2 linked regions of the Oryza sativa Japonica Group genome follow. The protein of the gene in region 2 interacts with the protein of the main gene of each other region in a pairwise test. Links are inferred from orthologs where the notes say so. Each region holds a gene or a part of one and is shown on either strand. Other genes may lie near its edges.

Region 1 (7,942 bases), on a different chromosome or scaffold from region 2:
GGTGCTAATGTTTACGGAACCAGGATCTAGCGCCTTGTCAACAGAGAAACACGAGCTTCTGATCAACTACATTCTCGTACTCACGCTCTACGCTGATGACTTCAGATCCGACCCTAAGGATATATGTGAAGACCTGAAAATGACCCGCCAGATGATTAAACCATATTATGACCAGCTGGGATGCAAATCTTCGTCGGCCGGTGCATTTAAATCCTCTGTAATGACACTTCCAGCTCCCCTCAAGTTCCCAAAAGAAGCTACAAGGAGAAAGCGACGAAGGTTCTGATCATCTCAGAAGGATCTTTAGCCTTATCTGAATGTGGGTGTGATAGGAAAAGATTGTTCGAAGTTGGGCCTGAGTTTATGCATGCTCAGCCCAGCCTTCCGAATTACTGAAACATGTGGAATATGGCTTTTGCCTTGTTTTTGTTTCCCCTTGTCACCTGGAGTTGCTGTCACAAAGGCAGAATATTGTTTATGTATTGATGACATTTTTTAACCCTTTTTTTTTCTCATCTTGCCTACCAGAATTTACATTGAAGATATCTAGCTTTTGCCTTGCATGAATGCCGTGGATAGTATTATCTCAGTATCTTGTTGCCACAATGCATTGCTAACGTCCAAGCAATCTTTGCATTCATGCAGTATTTTGTTTCTTCAGTTTGTAAGATTGCCTTGATGGGATACATCATATTGCATTAAAGCCGATGCTTCAAAATCTGGAAACATGTCATGCCTAGATTAGGATGAAAAGGCATAGGTTTCAGATCCTTTCAAGAAAGTAACCTCCATTTCTTTTTATAAGGCGTATTATGAAGTCAAAAGGTCAAGACATATAAACTTTGACTACTAGCTATTTTGTTAATTAAAACAGAACCAACATTATATGAAAATACATTGAAGTATAATTTTGTTGGTATAGTTTTTACATGCCAAATATACTTACAAACTTTGACATTTTGACTTTATAGTATGCCTTATAAAAAGAAAAAAGGAGTACAAGAATATAAGCTTGCAAAATACAACCGCCTTTTTAAGTTCATCACACTAACCATTATATTAGCAGGCAAACAGAAGTAAAAACTCTCTCAGGCTGGTAAAATTATTCCATAATAGCTACAACAATTGTAGGATGAGATAAGAATCTCTGATAGGTTACATCATCATCAATCTAAAAGTTTTGTTCTACAACACCGATAAGACGAGCCTTCTAAAACACAGGGGGTGATGAGTAAGGACTACTTGTGATCCACGAGGCAGGGGGCTTTCTTTCTTTTTCATTGCTAGTATACATGGCATTATTCATCCTAACACTTGTGCTAGCTCAGGACTTCTCCGCTATGTCACCGCCTGCGTCGTTATCTGCTCCCGCACTCTTGTGGCTCTCGGTCCCGGAAGGCTCCGAGGTTGCATCCTGCTTGTTTCCTCGGCCATCTACCGAGCCCGGTGCTGCCGTCTGAAGATCGGCTGCGCGAGCAGGGTCAGCAACTGGGATAGATTGCATGCCATTGACAGTACCTGGTCTCATTAGCATCTGGCCGGGGAAGGCTAGAGCCTGAGCTTGCTGTTGCTGGAGTTGCTGCTGCTGCTGCTCTTGCATCTGTTGTGGGGTTAAGGGAGTTCTTGGAGGGAACATCGGTACTTGGGACATGTAATGCCCAGCACCTGGGGTAGCACCAGGCTGCATCATCTATTCGGAGAAATAGTTATTTGAGTGAACTTAACAGTAAGGAGAGATTGAGGCGGTGTTATGCTGACATGTGGAACATAACTAACCTGAGGGCGACTTCCTGGATTCTGAGGTGGTTGGGCATCTGCAATGGCAGCCAGATACAAGAGATTCTTTTGAAGCTGAGCTTGGTACCTAAAATATGAGAGCATGAAAGATAAGCATTGTTACAAGATCATTTAGAAGGCTGCATCCAAATAGGCAGATCACATTACGAATAATTCAATTAAGACAACTAGACAAGTTTGGTGCATCAAAGAAGATTAGAAATCTTGCAACCTTCTTCCTTGACAGATGAAACTAGCATGGCAAAATCAAGATGGAATGAGTAATGCAGATGCTCAACTGTTAAACTAATCTTGTTTTTTCCCCCAAACTTCAAAAGAATTTTCTGTTGTGAAGTGAAAGATCCAACAGTAGTAGAATACTACATGCTGGTATCACTAGGATGATTTTCATGCCTTGGGGTAGTTACTATTCAGACAAAAAAGATGGGAGCTAAGCAGGAGTTCCTTCACTAGAAGGTGTAAAACGAAAATGATTGTTACACTTCCAAGAACATTAAATTTAAAACAACTATCTGCCCACAAAAACTTATATCTTCATGGCATCATGTTACACGTAGGCCCAAACTCCACTGAATGCATGTAGATAGGAAAGATCCATCAATAAAGCAATGATAGATCCCTTATAGGACTTCATAGTAGCACTTGGATAGAAGATCAAACTCCTCATCCATTGCAACAATTAATAAGGCATTCAGCTGAAAATCTAACTTTCCATTGCATAGCACAGGCCAACAGATATATACGATATCATACACTGGATAGACCAATAGAGTAATTAAGCAAGGTGTTCCAGATGATCAAATCAGGCACAGAAACAAGATTTTATTCTCCATATTATAGGTCCTCAGTAGGGAAGACAGTGAATAAGCATATACTTCATGCAAGTCAACTAAACTTCAGATGCCAAAACATATTGGCCACTGTCATTTAGATCCTCCAAATGGTAAAGTAAATTTCAGATGCCAAAACTTATTGACCACTGTCATTTAGATCCTCCAAATGGTAAAGTAAACTTCAGAAGACACAACTATCAAAACTTGGCACTTGTGTGCAATCCTTAGTGCATGATTTTAACAGAATAAGATCAAATGACTTCAAATGTAGTTCTGAAAACATCTTCCAAGCCGTCAACAATTGCAGATTTCCAATTTTAGGTCATTTACATGAAACAAAATGGTCAAGATATGGCAGCCACCTAGAAGCATTTCATATAGTAATCCAGCAATAAAGCCTTTCAAAGATGTTTAGCAAGCAACTTACTGAGCACATTCAGCCAACTTCCCTAGGTTTTGATTTTCCAGGATGGCCAAAATTAGCTGTTTATTTTCATCCAAATACTGCAAAAGAGAAATTGAATAAGTATCTGAAGTTAATGATGTTGATGACCACGCTATAATGCTAATCTATGTGTAATCTTAAAATAATTCATTTATCGTCTCTCTGTAAGAATTGTATATGCAGTTTCATTCTACAATGGCAACATGGTTTATTTCTTGAAAAACCCAAGCTTAAGTTAATGCTAGCCATTCGATATTAGGTTTCTGATGTCAATGCTATTGTGATCAATAGTGGACCAATGATTGAGAAAAGGTTGATTTCTTTCGTATCAAACTTGATGCAACCACAACTACATGATCAGAGAGCTGACATAATTCAGATGTGTGATTCTGTTGTAACTGAAATGTAAGGGGCCAAAAGGTGTGTAGCATAAAATTTTGCAGGCAGAGTTCTTTTATGTTGACATGTTATCATCAATATTGATCAGGTATAATAACATGCATGAACATTTTCTTATAACAGTGGCAGGAGCTGTGCCAATTATTAAGCATATAAGAGAGAAATTAGCATATAAGTAGGGCATAAGGTAAATTGAAGCTACACAGAAGGGCAAAATAGACCACATCAGTGGTTACAGAGCACAAAAAAGAACAAAACTACTAACAAGAAAAGGGGCAATGAAAGCAGAAAGCCGTATTCAAGAACCCCAAAAAAAGGGGAAAACCGAACTTGTGGACTACTAAATTCCTATCATCCTCATGCATTAATGCATGCTTATCATTTCAACCGTATCATGCTTTTCGCAATATTACAGTATTACCAAATTTGGAGACTGGTGGCTATAGATTCAAAATTTGGTTCAACTGGAGACCACACCCCTTACTCCTATCACATTTTCATGCCTATTTCGACTTCTCTTAAGCTGTTTAAACCTCTAATCCCCCATGCACAAGCGTCTCCACTCTCTGCAAAAATGCGTTCTTATTTACGCCTCAGTGATTAATCCCCCCATTTGATTAAAGGCAAGACAAGAACAAAAAGGCTCAATACTTGTCCACCCGGGCACGAAAAAGATCTGATCTTTGGCCGAAGCAATCGCCAAAGGAGCCATCTTTTCCAGAAACCCTAGCGAGATAGAGAGAGAGAGAGAGAGAGAGAGAGAGAGGGTGAGGGAAGCGAAACGAACCTTTTGGATCTGCTCGGTGGTGATGCCGGCCGCCGGCGGCACCGCGGCGGCGGCGGCCCCCGCCGGCATGGCCATCTGCTGCTGCATCTCGCCGCGGCGGCTTCTTCTTCTTCTTCTTCTTGCCTCAGTTTCTTGGTCGAGGGTGGATTTGGTGGGTGCTTTGTGCTTTTCGAGGTTTCTCCAGTCGTTTCAGCTTGGTTTGGTTTGTGTTCAGAAAGAAAATTACCTGAGAGCGAGGAGGAGGGAAGATTACGAATCTACCCTTGTTGGTGGACAATGAGAATCGTTTCTCTCCCACCTCCGTCTGCAGTTGTGTATTTTCGTCTCTAACGTTTGATTGTTCATATTATCTAAAATAAATATTATGATTAGTATTTCTAGTCTTATCATATGATAAGATATGAATAATACTTTATGTGTGACTAGTTTTTTTAATTCTTTCATAAAGTTTTCAAATAAAAAAGACAGTCAAATATTAGACACGAAAAATCATAATTGTACTTATATTGGGATGGATATAGTAGTAACGGCCACATAGGTATGGTTTGAGTTTACTCGAAAAAATAGGTACGGCACTAAAAACCAAAAGAAAAGAGCATGATTAATTCAGTTTTAATTATTTTAATTTGAAAATTGAATTTATCGCATATTTTAATATATAGAAAGTTTTCGCGCAGAACACATAGTCTATTCGTGTGAAAAATGTGCTAACGAAAATCGAGATAGAATATATGTATCTTAATCAGAAAAATAGGTCACTTACACGGTTTAGGCACGTACTTCCATCCCTTCACACATTTTCTGATAAAATAGAGAAAATATGGTAAATCTTTGATCTCATTGATTTTTTATTTAAAGAGGCACCTATACGTACATAATATTTATGGACACTAAGATTTAAACACTGATGAGGAGATTTATGGACCCATTCATTCATCACCATCCCTGAAGGTTCTTCTATGTTATAAAGGATTTTCACATGCAAGAACAAAAATATAATTCATTTTGTGTAGAAATTAGAATTTTTCTCACTTTTCAAATGGAATACTTCCTTTGTTTTAAAATAGGACATTGCTGACTTTTAGGCCTGATATTTTATTATTCGTCTTATTTAACTAATCAAGTGTAAAATATAAAAAAAATTGAGTCATGGTTAAAGTATCTCAAATGATAAAATAAGTTACAACAAAATAAATAATAACTTTTAATAAGACGAATTAGTGATTAAACATCATGTCTAAAGCCAATCATGTAGTACATTTAAAAACTGAAGGGGTATGATATTCAATTTTGAGCATACTATTGTTGGCAACTACGTGAAATTAGTGGATGACAACCGAATATTGATACAATATTCACCCTTTTTTTTCAATGGAACCTTAATCTTTGTAAAGGAACTTCCCTCGTATTCATGTGGACATACTGTAATTTTTTTTTCCATTTAAAACATTTAGAGAAAATATATGTTCCATAAAAATTTACTACCAATGCTAGTAGAGAGCATGATATATTCTCTTTCGTTAGCATATGGCTGCAGAATGGAGAGTGCCAACATTTGCTCTCCAATGGAAGCAAACTTTTGTGAGTGAGAGTGATGGGAGGGGCAAATCTGTCGTTTCATCGAGTGCACTGTTACCGTTGTGATGGCTGCCGCTGTTGGAGAGTGGCTGGCAACTAGCATGGCGCGCTGCAGCAACTCTTGGAAGAAAGTACCTGAAATCCATGTGAAGGCGTAGAAGGTGAGACACGTTTTCCCCCTTCACCTTTGCCTCTTCTTTTCTTCTTGGTTGTCTCACTTCAAAGAATGGTATACAGATTATGTAACAATACAGCTACTCTACCTGGGCTATATTTGTCTTGAAAATATAAAAACCAGATGCGTAGATTAGTTTTAAAAAGTATTTCAATAAAATTATATATTTGTTGATATTTCTATATATATATTATAATAGAAAATAGTTGTCAAAGCTACTTTTTGAAGACCGTGTCCTTGTCCAAAACGACAAGTATTATCAACCCGGAGGGAGTAACTATTAGCTATAAATGAATCTAAGAGTTAACATGTATAGTTGATTGAGAGCTACCATATGTACGATATTTTGCCTACGGAGCTCGTACGATGTAATGTTTTCAACGGAAGCCAATCATGTTGTCCAGTCATTTTCTAGCGATGCAACTAAGTAACGCTCACCATTCGTCAGCAATCGTACGAGAATCGTACATAACAATTGTATGCATAGCATTTTCGATAATAGATTAGCTATAAGTTTATCTCTAATTTTACCTTCTTATCTTTATGTAATTAATAGGAGTATTTGCTTAGAAGAATATGTAAGAGCTAGCACTCATTATTTTTCTTATTCTCTCTCCTCCATATAAGCATGTGATTGGCTTATAGTTATTAAATTTGCTCTTAGGATAATTCGATGTGAGAGTTAAAACTTAAGACTCCAGACAATGGTATGGCTCATGTCTTGGGGTTAATGCTTATGCGGGAGAGCTGAATGTTATGATAAACAACTTATGAGAATCGGGGTGTTTCTAAATAGTTATCTACTCCTTACAATGGTGGAGCCAGAAATAATAAAATTTGTCTGCAATTTGCTTATCCTCTAGTAATTACAATGATAATCCTTGTGCAATTCAAATGTCTTTGGAGTTTAGAGGGAAACAAGTTCAAGCAGCTCAAAAGGGAGTGTAAGCTTTGACCACAAGCATTGCCGGGCCCACAAGGTCAGAGGAAGCCAGCCAATGGAGGGTGCTCAAGCCATGTGGTTAAAGATTCTTGCTGACTGCCGGTGCACGTGGCAGAATTTATAGGTTGCTGGGCCAGCTCAACGTGGCCGCAGAATCTATCTACTCTCTCACTCACTGCTGCTGCACAGACGGTGTCGCTGGTTCGTACTCTTTCCTTCCGTCCCATAAAACATGACATAGAGCAGTGTCACATCTTGCTCTGATTTGCATTTTAAGAGACCAAGTGAGTACAGAAGATGAAGATGAAGAAAACCATTAGCTCAAGATTAATTAAGTTTTAATTATTACGAATCTTTAAAATTAATTTATTTGATATTTTGAATTAACTTTTGTATAAATTTTTTTAACGAAATATACCGTTTAACAATTTAAAAAACATAGTAATGAAACCGATGTAAAATATGTATCCACTACTACATAAACGATATTTTCAAATGACACCCCCAAGCAGTTTACATGTACTAGCTCATAAGTACCTCCTCCCTCCGTCCTAAAAAAATATGGGACTGGATGTGACATATTCTAGTATAATAAATCTAGATAAATGTAGGATGTGTTATATCCAATACTAGATTGGTTTTTTATGGGACGGAGGAGCACATCTGAAAAAAAAAAACTGGTTTAGGCCAGTTGATGGACCGTTGCGACAACTTAGATATCAACTTAGAACTGAGAGGCCTTGTTTGTTACTAAATGAGATAAAGATTTCATTTCATGTTTTATTAGCATGTTTTTTAAGAAAATATTAGCACGTTTTTCAAACTGTTAAACGGTATATTTCATATAAAACTTTATATGCAGAAATTGATTTAAAATATCAAATAAATTCATTTTTTAAAAAATAAATAACTAAAACTCAATTAATCATACGGCTTTTTTTTATTTTGCATCTCCGTACTTAATGTTATTCAGCACTTACGAACG
Region 2 (7,862 bases):
ATAAGGATCTTTCAGGCCAAGTAATTAGCCTTTTGTGAAGACCATAATGCAAACCTATTCCAGATTTGTACCACAAACAACTTGGGACCATTTTATTCCCTCCTACAAAGCCTACCTAATTAATCTATGCGTAACCTTAAAGTTAACTCTAAACAAGTACAATGCCACCCATATATACATGGATCGATCGATCTCATTGCTAATATAAGCTAATAAGCATTATGAGAGGCCCCCCCTAGCTTGCTAGAATCTTACCATTTCTTTGACCAAGATCACGACCGCCCAAAAAGAAAGAGCTCCGTGACAAAGCTCGATTAGGCAGAGGTTAATTAACTATAGCTATACTTATACATTTTTTTCGCTATTAAGAAACTAAGCCGCTCGTGATGGCTTGGGGGAAGGCACGTGAGGGAGCCGTGCTCTTGGACCACGCATATTGCTACTTGATGGTTTTGTAATGCCCTAAGTACATCGAGGAGGGCTAAACAAATGGGCAGTAGTAAATTAATTTGGATGGGAAAGGGGGACATTTCAAACAACTGGCATATGTTTGCACGAGTATTTATTTTGGAAGATAGTGCCATTGTGTACGTTTTTAATGCCAAGGGTGACGATTATGTCATGCTACTGGTTTTTTAATTCCATCTGATGTTTTACCTCACGGTAATAATATAGCATAGTACTTTTACTCCATATATATTATATACTCTTATCAATAATACATCATCTCTTTTAAAATATAAACATTTTTAAGTGCTTATTCACCTATTCTCCATCATAATCAATCGTAACTATCTTTTATTTAGTTTTTTATCTAGTTTTATTTAACCAATCATAATTGTTTGTCACCTCAAACTTATCGAAAAATGGTTATGGAGTATGTATTGTGTTAGGGGTAAAAATAACGGAGAGTAAAAAGACAAAAAAAAATCGAAATGCCTTGGGAAAAAAATAACAATATTATCCCATCATTGTAGAATGATAGAGGCAGTAACTCTCGTGCGATGAGAGTGAATATATCTGCAGTAGAAATGGGCGTTAGGTAGCCCGCCAAACACAGCGGGATTACCGTTAATTGAGCTGATCTAGCACGGTTTACCCCTACTGTTTGGGTGAACATTCTCTCTCGCGTGCAGCTTGCAGCGAGCGAACGGAGGTGATATGGTGATATACAAAAGCTCTTCTTTTTACGGCCTTGATTTACCGAGTCTTTACTGAGTCCGGGCAAAAGAAGGCAAAGATCGAGAGGTTGGAGAAATTGAGAACGCACGCAACGTACCGGAGGCGAAAAGCGGACAGCGTACGGGCGTGGAAACCGTTCGGTGTTCCGATCGGGTCCCTGCAGGTCCATCCCTGTCACACCTTGGCGCCCGGCAAGCTAGGTTCTGTAAATTAAGGGCAGTTTTTAACAACGGCCACTTCTACTTAAAATCTTCATCAAGAAAGATGGTTCAGATTCAAACTTAGATTGAAATCAACTATAGTCGTAAAGGTTAGAAAAATAAATAGTAACCATAAGCTAGAAAACCCAATCTTTATAAATAAATACTGAGGCTGCATTCTTTGCTGAGAGTTTACAACTCCCCACTCTCGCTTTCCACGCATATGTTTTTCAAACTGCTTTCTATATGAAAGTTGCTTAAAAAAATCATATTGATCCATTTTTGAAAAAAATTAGCTATTAATTAATCACACATTAATGCAAACATCGTTTTGCATGCCGGGGAGGAGGGGTTCCTAACCCTTTCTCCCGAACACAGCCTAATTGTTTCTTAAAATTTTAAGCTCATGACCTAAATATAGGAGTTTAGAAATATGGGCTCTGGCGGTAAAGCTGCAGTTGAAATATATGACGCAACTTTATATATATATATATATATATATATATATATATATATATATATATATATATATATATATATATATATATATATATATATATATATATATATATATATATTACAAGTTTTTATATGGTGAAAAATAGACAGCTATAAATAATTTTAAAAATTAAGTTTTAAAATTTAACTTTTTAGCTATACGGTTCAGACATCAACCAGCTGAGCTGCCTCGTGATTTCCTTTCCTTTTCTTTTTCTTTTTCTTGAAAACATACTAATTCCACTACACCGCACTATTTTGTCAAACCCTTCGTCATAGAGCATTTAGGTCTTTTTCGGAACGCAGAAATTTTAGAGGTTTTTTTTAACATAAAACAGTTTAACTCCTCCAAGATTCCCGTGCAAAATCTTCCAAACTGAATGGCCCTTCAAGTTATATATTTCCTCTAAACTGCACATTAACCTTGTTTGAGATCCAGGACTCGTCCGCTTTGCTCGTGTGGTCTAGCGTGCTAATCTTCAACCATGATTGATACTCCTGCGATCTTAGCCTACGGTATTTCAGGTGCATGTGCGCAACAAATATATATACACAGATATGGACCGATCGATCCATGCATACGTGCGTCTCGCGTGGCTGCGATTCCATGGCCTAATATCTTAATTAGCGCAGGAAGATAGTACTACTACTTACTTACCAGCTAATTGCCTAATTTCCACGCCCAGTGAGCGGCTGGAGCTAAGCACGCAGCTAGTAGCTAACAAACTCATATATCAATCAAAACTGAATCTAACACAAATATACACTAACATATACTCCATAGTGCAATGATAAGAGATGTGTGATTCTAACTCCAAGGTACCATACCGTTCCCAATACATTCACATTTTCTTCTTAATTTTTTTTAGAGACGTCTCTTTCTCCAAATTTCATTTTCTAAAACTGAATCTAACACCAATTATAAGCTCTAGATAAGTGATATGAAGCTATCGGCATATCACACAGTGTCACTATGCTACGTACCTGCCGTTCAATGTGTAGGGAGGAGAACGATCGAACCCACCAAATGTTGGTGTTAGTTGCTCTTGTTGCTATTGTCAACTACCGGTTACATCTATCAGTTCATCTCTTGCACAAACACAACGCTTGTCCTGGTTGATCTATAGGACAAAATGGTGGTTTCGGCTTAGCTATTCCAGTAGTACTTTCTTCTCGGAAAGATAATGTCTTTTGAATCTTCTGGGTAGGAATCATAATCCTTCTTATAAATGTTGTTGAATCTAGTAGCATTTGGAGCAACTTTACAATGCAAAGATACCGGCACCCTACATTAAAGGTAAAAAAAAAAATCCCCCAGACAAATAAATCTTACCAGCTACAGTACCACTTACTACTGCCACAGCTATACAGTAAGATCTCTCCTTACCATCAATTTTGCCGGTGGTTAGAGCAGTAAAATGACTCGGTTAAAAAAAATATGGAGCAGTAGCAGTAAAAATCTTCAAACAAGTTTCCCTTTTTACCCCTGGGTGTTGTACTACTAGTACTTGGGGCTTGTGGCTAGCCTTTGCCCCCAAAAGGAAAACCATCCCGGTTTCCCGAACACGAGCCGCCCGCGACGACGACGCATCCGCCATTCCACCGGCGACGCGACGCGACGCGAGAGCACGCGCGCGCTCGCGCGGCGCGCCACCACAACCCGCACAGCGAGAGAGGGGGGGATGCGGTCGCTTGCTCCGGTAGCTGCGGCTGCGGCGGATGAGCGGGGGAGCAGGAGGGGGCAGTGGTAGGAGGTGGGGATGGACCTGGGTGGCGGGGTGGGGGTGGTGATGGCGGCGGTGGACGGGGGTGGCGGCGGGGAGCTCGGTGGGGGAGGGTTGCTCGGATCTAGGCTGATGAAGCACGGGAGGGGCAATGCGGGGGACCAGGAGCACGAATGGAGGCCGCCGGCGAAGCAGGCGAGGGGCGGGGACGCGTCCTCCGCCGCGGCCGCCGTGGCGGCCGCGGCGGCGGTGTCCGAGGCGGTCAAGGTGGCGGCGCCGTTCCTGCTCGGGGCGTCATGTAGCCCCGGCCATGGCGGGGAGCAGATGCTCAGCTTCTCGTCCTCCGCCTCGTCGTGCTCCTCCGGCGGCGGTGGCGCCGCCGTGGCCGCTGCGGCGGCGGCTGGCGGGGCGATGCCGCTGTACTATGGCACGCCTGCTTCTTGCTCAGGTGAGGATGGTGCAAAAATCTTTTCGTTTCCTTTATTTTTTTCTTCTTTCTGTTCTGCTCGTCTGATTCGATTTGGTGATTGAAAAGCTTTCTGCTCCTTTTCAAGTATTATTGCTGTTTGATTCATCTCTCTTTGTTATAGATTTATTTTCCATTTTTTATGCTACTTCTCTGCCTTTTTATTCGTTGCTATGCATCATGCTTGATCCTTGCTCACACTGGGATGGGATGGAGCTGATTTAGTTTTAGTTTTTGTTTTTTTCCCACTTGGTTCTTTTACTATTGTGGTTTAGATTCGGATTTGCATCTTGTATTTTTTTTGTTTCATATTTCTCATTTTTTTGTCTCCTTTTGACTAGATCACTGACTGCGAATAGCTCACTTCCTCTGAAATAGACCAGTTTATTATCTTTAGCATAGATGAGTGTGAGTATAAACTAGTTCTTGATTTTTTCTTGATACTGGAGTATAAGTTTCCTGTTCTTTTCAGTGACATCCACAAACGCTTTCTTGTCCTCATCGGTGCGGATCGGGCGTATTCTCTTTCGTCATACCTTTTGCCGAAACTAAAGGAGAAAGCACATATATGGATGAGAAAAGTCGTGATCTTTAGCATTATATCACTACTATTTCTACTACGTTTTTCTCACTAGGGAAGAAAGAAAGGTTAAAGTAGGAAAAATAAAAACATGCAAGAAAGGTTTCAAGTAAACAATGCGGCAAACGCGAATCAAGCTTTGCTGCAACGGATCGAACATGTGGTTGGTTGGTGACTTTTTATGCACACGCCACCTACAAATCCGTGCTGCTTCTGATCCTTGCAGCCACTTTGCTTCAGATTTTTGTGTCTTTTGCTTGCCCCTATCTATGTTATATCTTGCACAAGGATCGTGTTTAGGAAACACATGCATCTGGATGGTGGTCGTCGTCTCGTCTTCTATAAAGTACATGTGTGTTTTGGCTGTGCCTTGTTGGCTTGCACTGCCTAGCTTGTTGCTCATCTCCTTGGTGTATCTGGCTGCAGGATTGAGCTCAGTGAGCTTGAGCAGCAGCATGCAGGGTGCAATGGCCAGGGTGAGGGGTCCCTTCACGCCGTCTCAGTGGATCGAGCTGGAGCACCAGGCGCTGATATACAAGTACTTGGCTGCGAATAGCCCTGTACCACACAGCCTCCTCATCCCCATCAGGAGGAGCCTCACATCGCCCTACTCACCTGCCTACTTTGGCTCAAGCACATGTAAGCCAAGAAATGGGAAAGGAAGCAGATCAACCGAATGCTTTCTTGGCTTTAGTTCCTTTCATCATGGACTGATATTTATGATAAAAGCTGTTCCATTCCCTGATCTTGGTTGCATTGCCCTTGGTTGGGTTTTTGCTTTGCAGTGGGATGGGGATCTTTCCAGCTGGGCTACTCCGGCAGCGCGGATCCGGAGCCCGGCCGGTGCCGCCGGACGGACGGCAAGAAATGGCGGTGCTCGAGGGATGCGGTCGCCGACCAGAAGTACTGTGAGCGACACATGAACCGGGGACGCCACCGTTCAAGAAAGCATGTGGAAGGCCAGCCTGGCCATGCCGCGAAAGCGATGCCCGCGGCGGTGGCAGCAGCCGCTGCCTCTGCTACCCAGCCTAGTGCTCCGGCCGCCCACAGTGGCGGAGCTGTTGCTGGCCTCGCTATCAACCATCAGCACCAGCAAATGAAGAACTACGCTGCCAACACTGCCAATCCTTGCTCTCTGCAATATAGCAGGTAGAATGTTGGCAGCACTTTCAAGCTCCAAATATTGCTTTTAGTCAATCATGTAGCCAATGCTTAAGCTCAAGACGTCAAGTTTCGCTTTTGCCATTTTGCATGGATATTCCATTTCCGTACATATTTGCCTGCCGGCATCCACCAAATAATAAAGATAGAAGGTAATTTAGTTACCTAGTTTATTTAGCTACCATGATTGGAGATGAGCCCCAAAGATAAGCTATTAATCATTTACCAGCAATTAAACAAGTCCATTATTTACATTGCTCATCTATGTACTCTGGTAGCCCTAAAGGTACTTGTTTTGTGAGTAGAGTGGCCGTTGAAGAACTGCCATACTAAAGGAACAACTGCTATATGCTGTATTAACTACTTCACTAATGAATCACTTGTTGATCAAACTTCTACAGGGATCTGGCAAACAAGCATAATGAGAGTGAACAAGTGCAAGACTCAGACAGTCTCTCGATGCTGACTTCCATTAGCACGAGAAATACGGGCAGCCTGTTTCCGTTCTCAAAACAACATAATCCTTTTGAAGTGTCCAACTCAAGGCCAGATTTTGGCCTAGTATCACCTGATTCACTGATGAGTTCTCCTCATAGCTCCTTGGAGAACGTCAATTTGCTCACTTCGCAGAGTCTGAATGAACAACAGAGTTCAGTTTCCCTTCAACACTTTGTGGACTGGCCAAGGACACCTGCACAAGGAGCTCTCGCATGGCCTGATGCTGAAGACATGCAAGCTCAGAGAAGCCAGCTCTCAATATCTGCTCCAATGGCGTCTTCTGACCTGTCATCAGCCTCAACATCTCCCATCCATGAGAAGCTGATGTTGTCACCACTTAAACTGAGCCGTGAATATAGTCCTATTGGTCTCGGTTTTGCAGCAAATAGAGATGAGGTTAACCAGGGAGAAGCAAACTGGATGCCTATGTTCCGTGATTCTTTGATGGGCGGACCATTGGGAGAGGTTTTAACCAAGAATAACAACATGGAAGCAAGGAATTGCCTATCGGAGTCTCTGAATCTTTTAAATGATGGCTGGGATTCAAGCTCAGGGTTTGATTCATCCCCAGTTGGTGTTCTGCAGAAGACCACCTTTGGATCAGTATCCAGTAGCACCGGAAGCAGTCCTAGACTGGAGAATCATAGTGTTTATGATGGCAACAGTAACCTGCGGGATGATCTCGGTTCAGTTGTTGTAAATCATCCGAGCATCCGCCTGGTGTGAGCTTCTTGATCAACAAAAAATGCAACAAGATGACAGGCATGAGGAAACGATTCAATCAGTCTTCACCTTGTTACATATCGTTATGACGTCTTCAAGTGTGAGCATTTACCTCGGTGCTTTGTCATTCAGACTAATCTTGTGTTTTTGGTATTTCTGCTCTGTTATTTTTCCTTTGCTTTGTAACCTTCACCTTGGATCTTGACGTGATATGACGTGTGGTATGGATGGATTTGGTACTCCATTGTGGCATATCATCTTAAAATATCCCATGCTGTGACGTCATAATCGCGGATGAATGTAATCCGATCCTTGTCTTGCTTTCTGGTAGTATTCAATGGATTGTTTGTGAGCTGATATAAGTATTCCTCTTGACTTCTTGATGCTTGTTGGTAATTTTAGTTGGTCCATGCGGCATTCGTGTAGTGTTTCACTGGTATTTCGTGTACGGACTGTTCTGTTTGTCTCCCAATTATTGGACCATATATTCGGTGTATACTAGTTTTGCATAGTACTTCTACTTTGTTTGCAGTCACTAAACTAGACAAATGAGAACTATAGTTAGGTCAGTTTGGACGAGGCAATTGGGGTTTTTTTTTTTTTTTGGGGGGGGGGGGGGTCCTTGCGATTAAATCTGTGCAAAATTCTGACCAAATAGTTTAGCATTGCTTTTTGGAGCCTGAGGGCGGTCTTTCTTTTCCCACTATTATTGACAGAGTGGACTAGTGGTCTAATCCAGTTCTGATTGTACTCCCAACCAACAGCCTCACCAGAATACAATGATACAAATTTCAGGACCATTCACCACCAGCCTTTTCTTCCTCTTTTAA

Evidence for each region.
Region 1: the proteins of growth-regulating factor 6 (region 2) and GRF1-interacting factor 2 interact in binary tests that used the Arabidopsis thaliana proteins (3 or more experiments, as listed by UniProt). The link is inferred for Oryza sativa Japonica Group from reciprocal best matches to the Arabidopsis thaliana genes GRF1 and GIF2.

The regions. Positions count from the first base shown.
Region 1 is NC_089045.1:25,864,179-25,872,120, forward strand, and holds GRF1-interacting factor 2, read right to left. Parts: upstream 4,453-7,942; 5' UTR 4,349-4,452; coding exon 4,262-4,348; intron 3,135-4,261; coding exon 3,058-3,134; intron 1,865-3,057; coding exon 1,777-1,864; intron 1,691-1,776; coding exon 1,325-1,690; 3' UTR 1,078-1,324; downstream 1-1,077. Other genes in the region: DNA-directed RNA polymerase I subunit rpa49, read left to right, coding at 1-286. UniProt on the Arabidopsis thaliana protein: Transcription coactivator that plays a role in the regulation of cell expansion in leaf and cotyledons tissues.
Region 2 is NC_089037.1:30,699,619-30,707,480, forward strand, and holds growth-regulating factor 6, read left to right. Parts: upstream 1-3,640; coding exon 3,641-4,052; intron 4,053-5,076; coding exon 5,077-5,289; intron 5,290-5,435; coding exon 5,436-5,799; intron 5,800-6,212; coding exon 6,213-7,035; 3' UTR 7,036-7,397; downstream 7,398-7,862. UniProt on the Arabidopsis thaliana protein: Transcription activator that plays a role in the regulation of cell expansion in leaf and cotyledons tissues.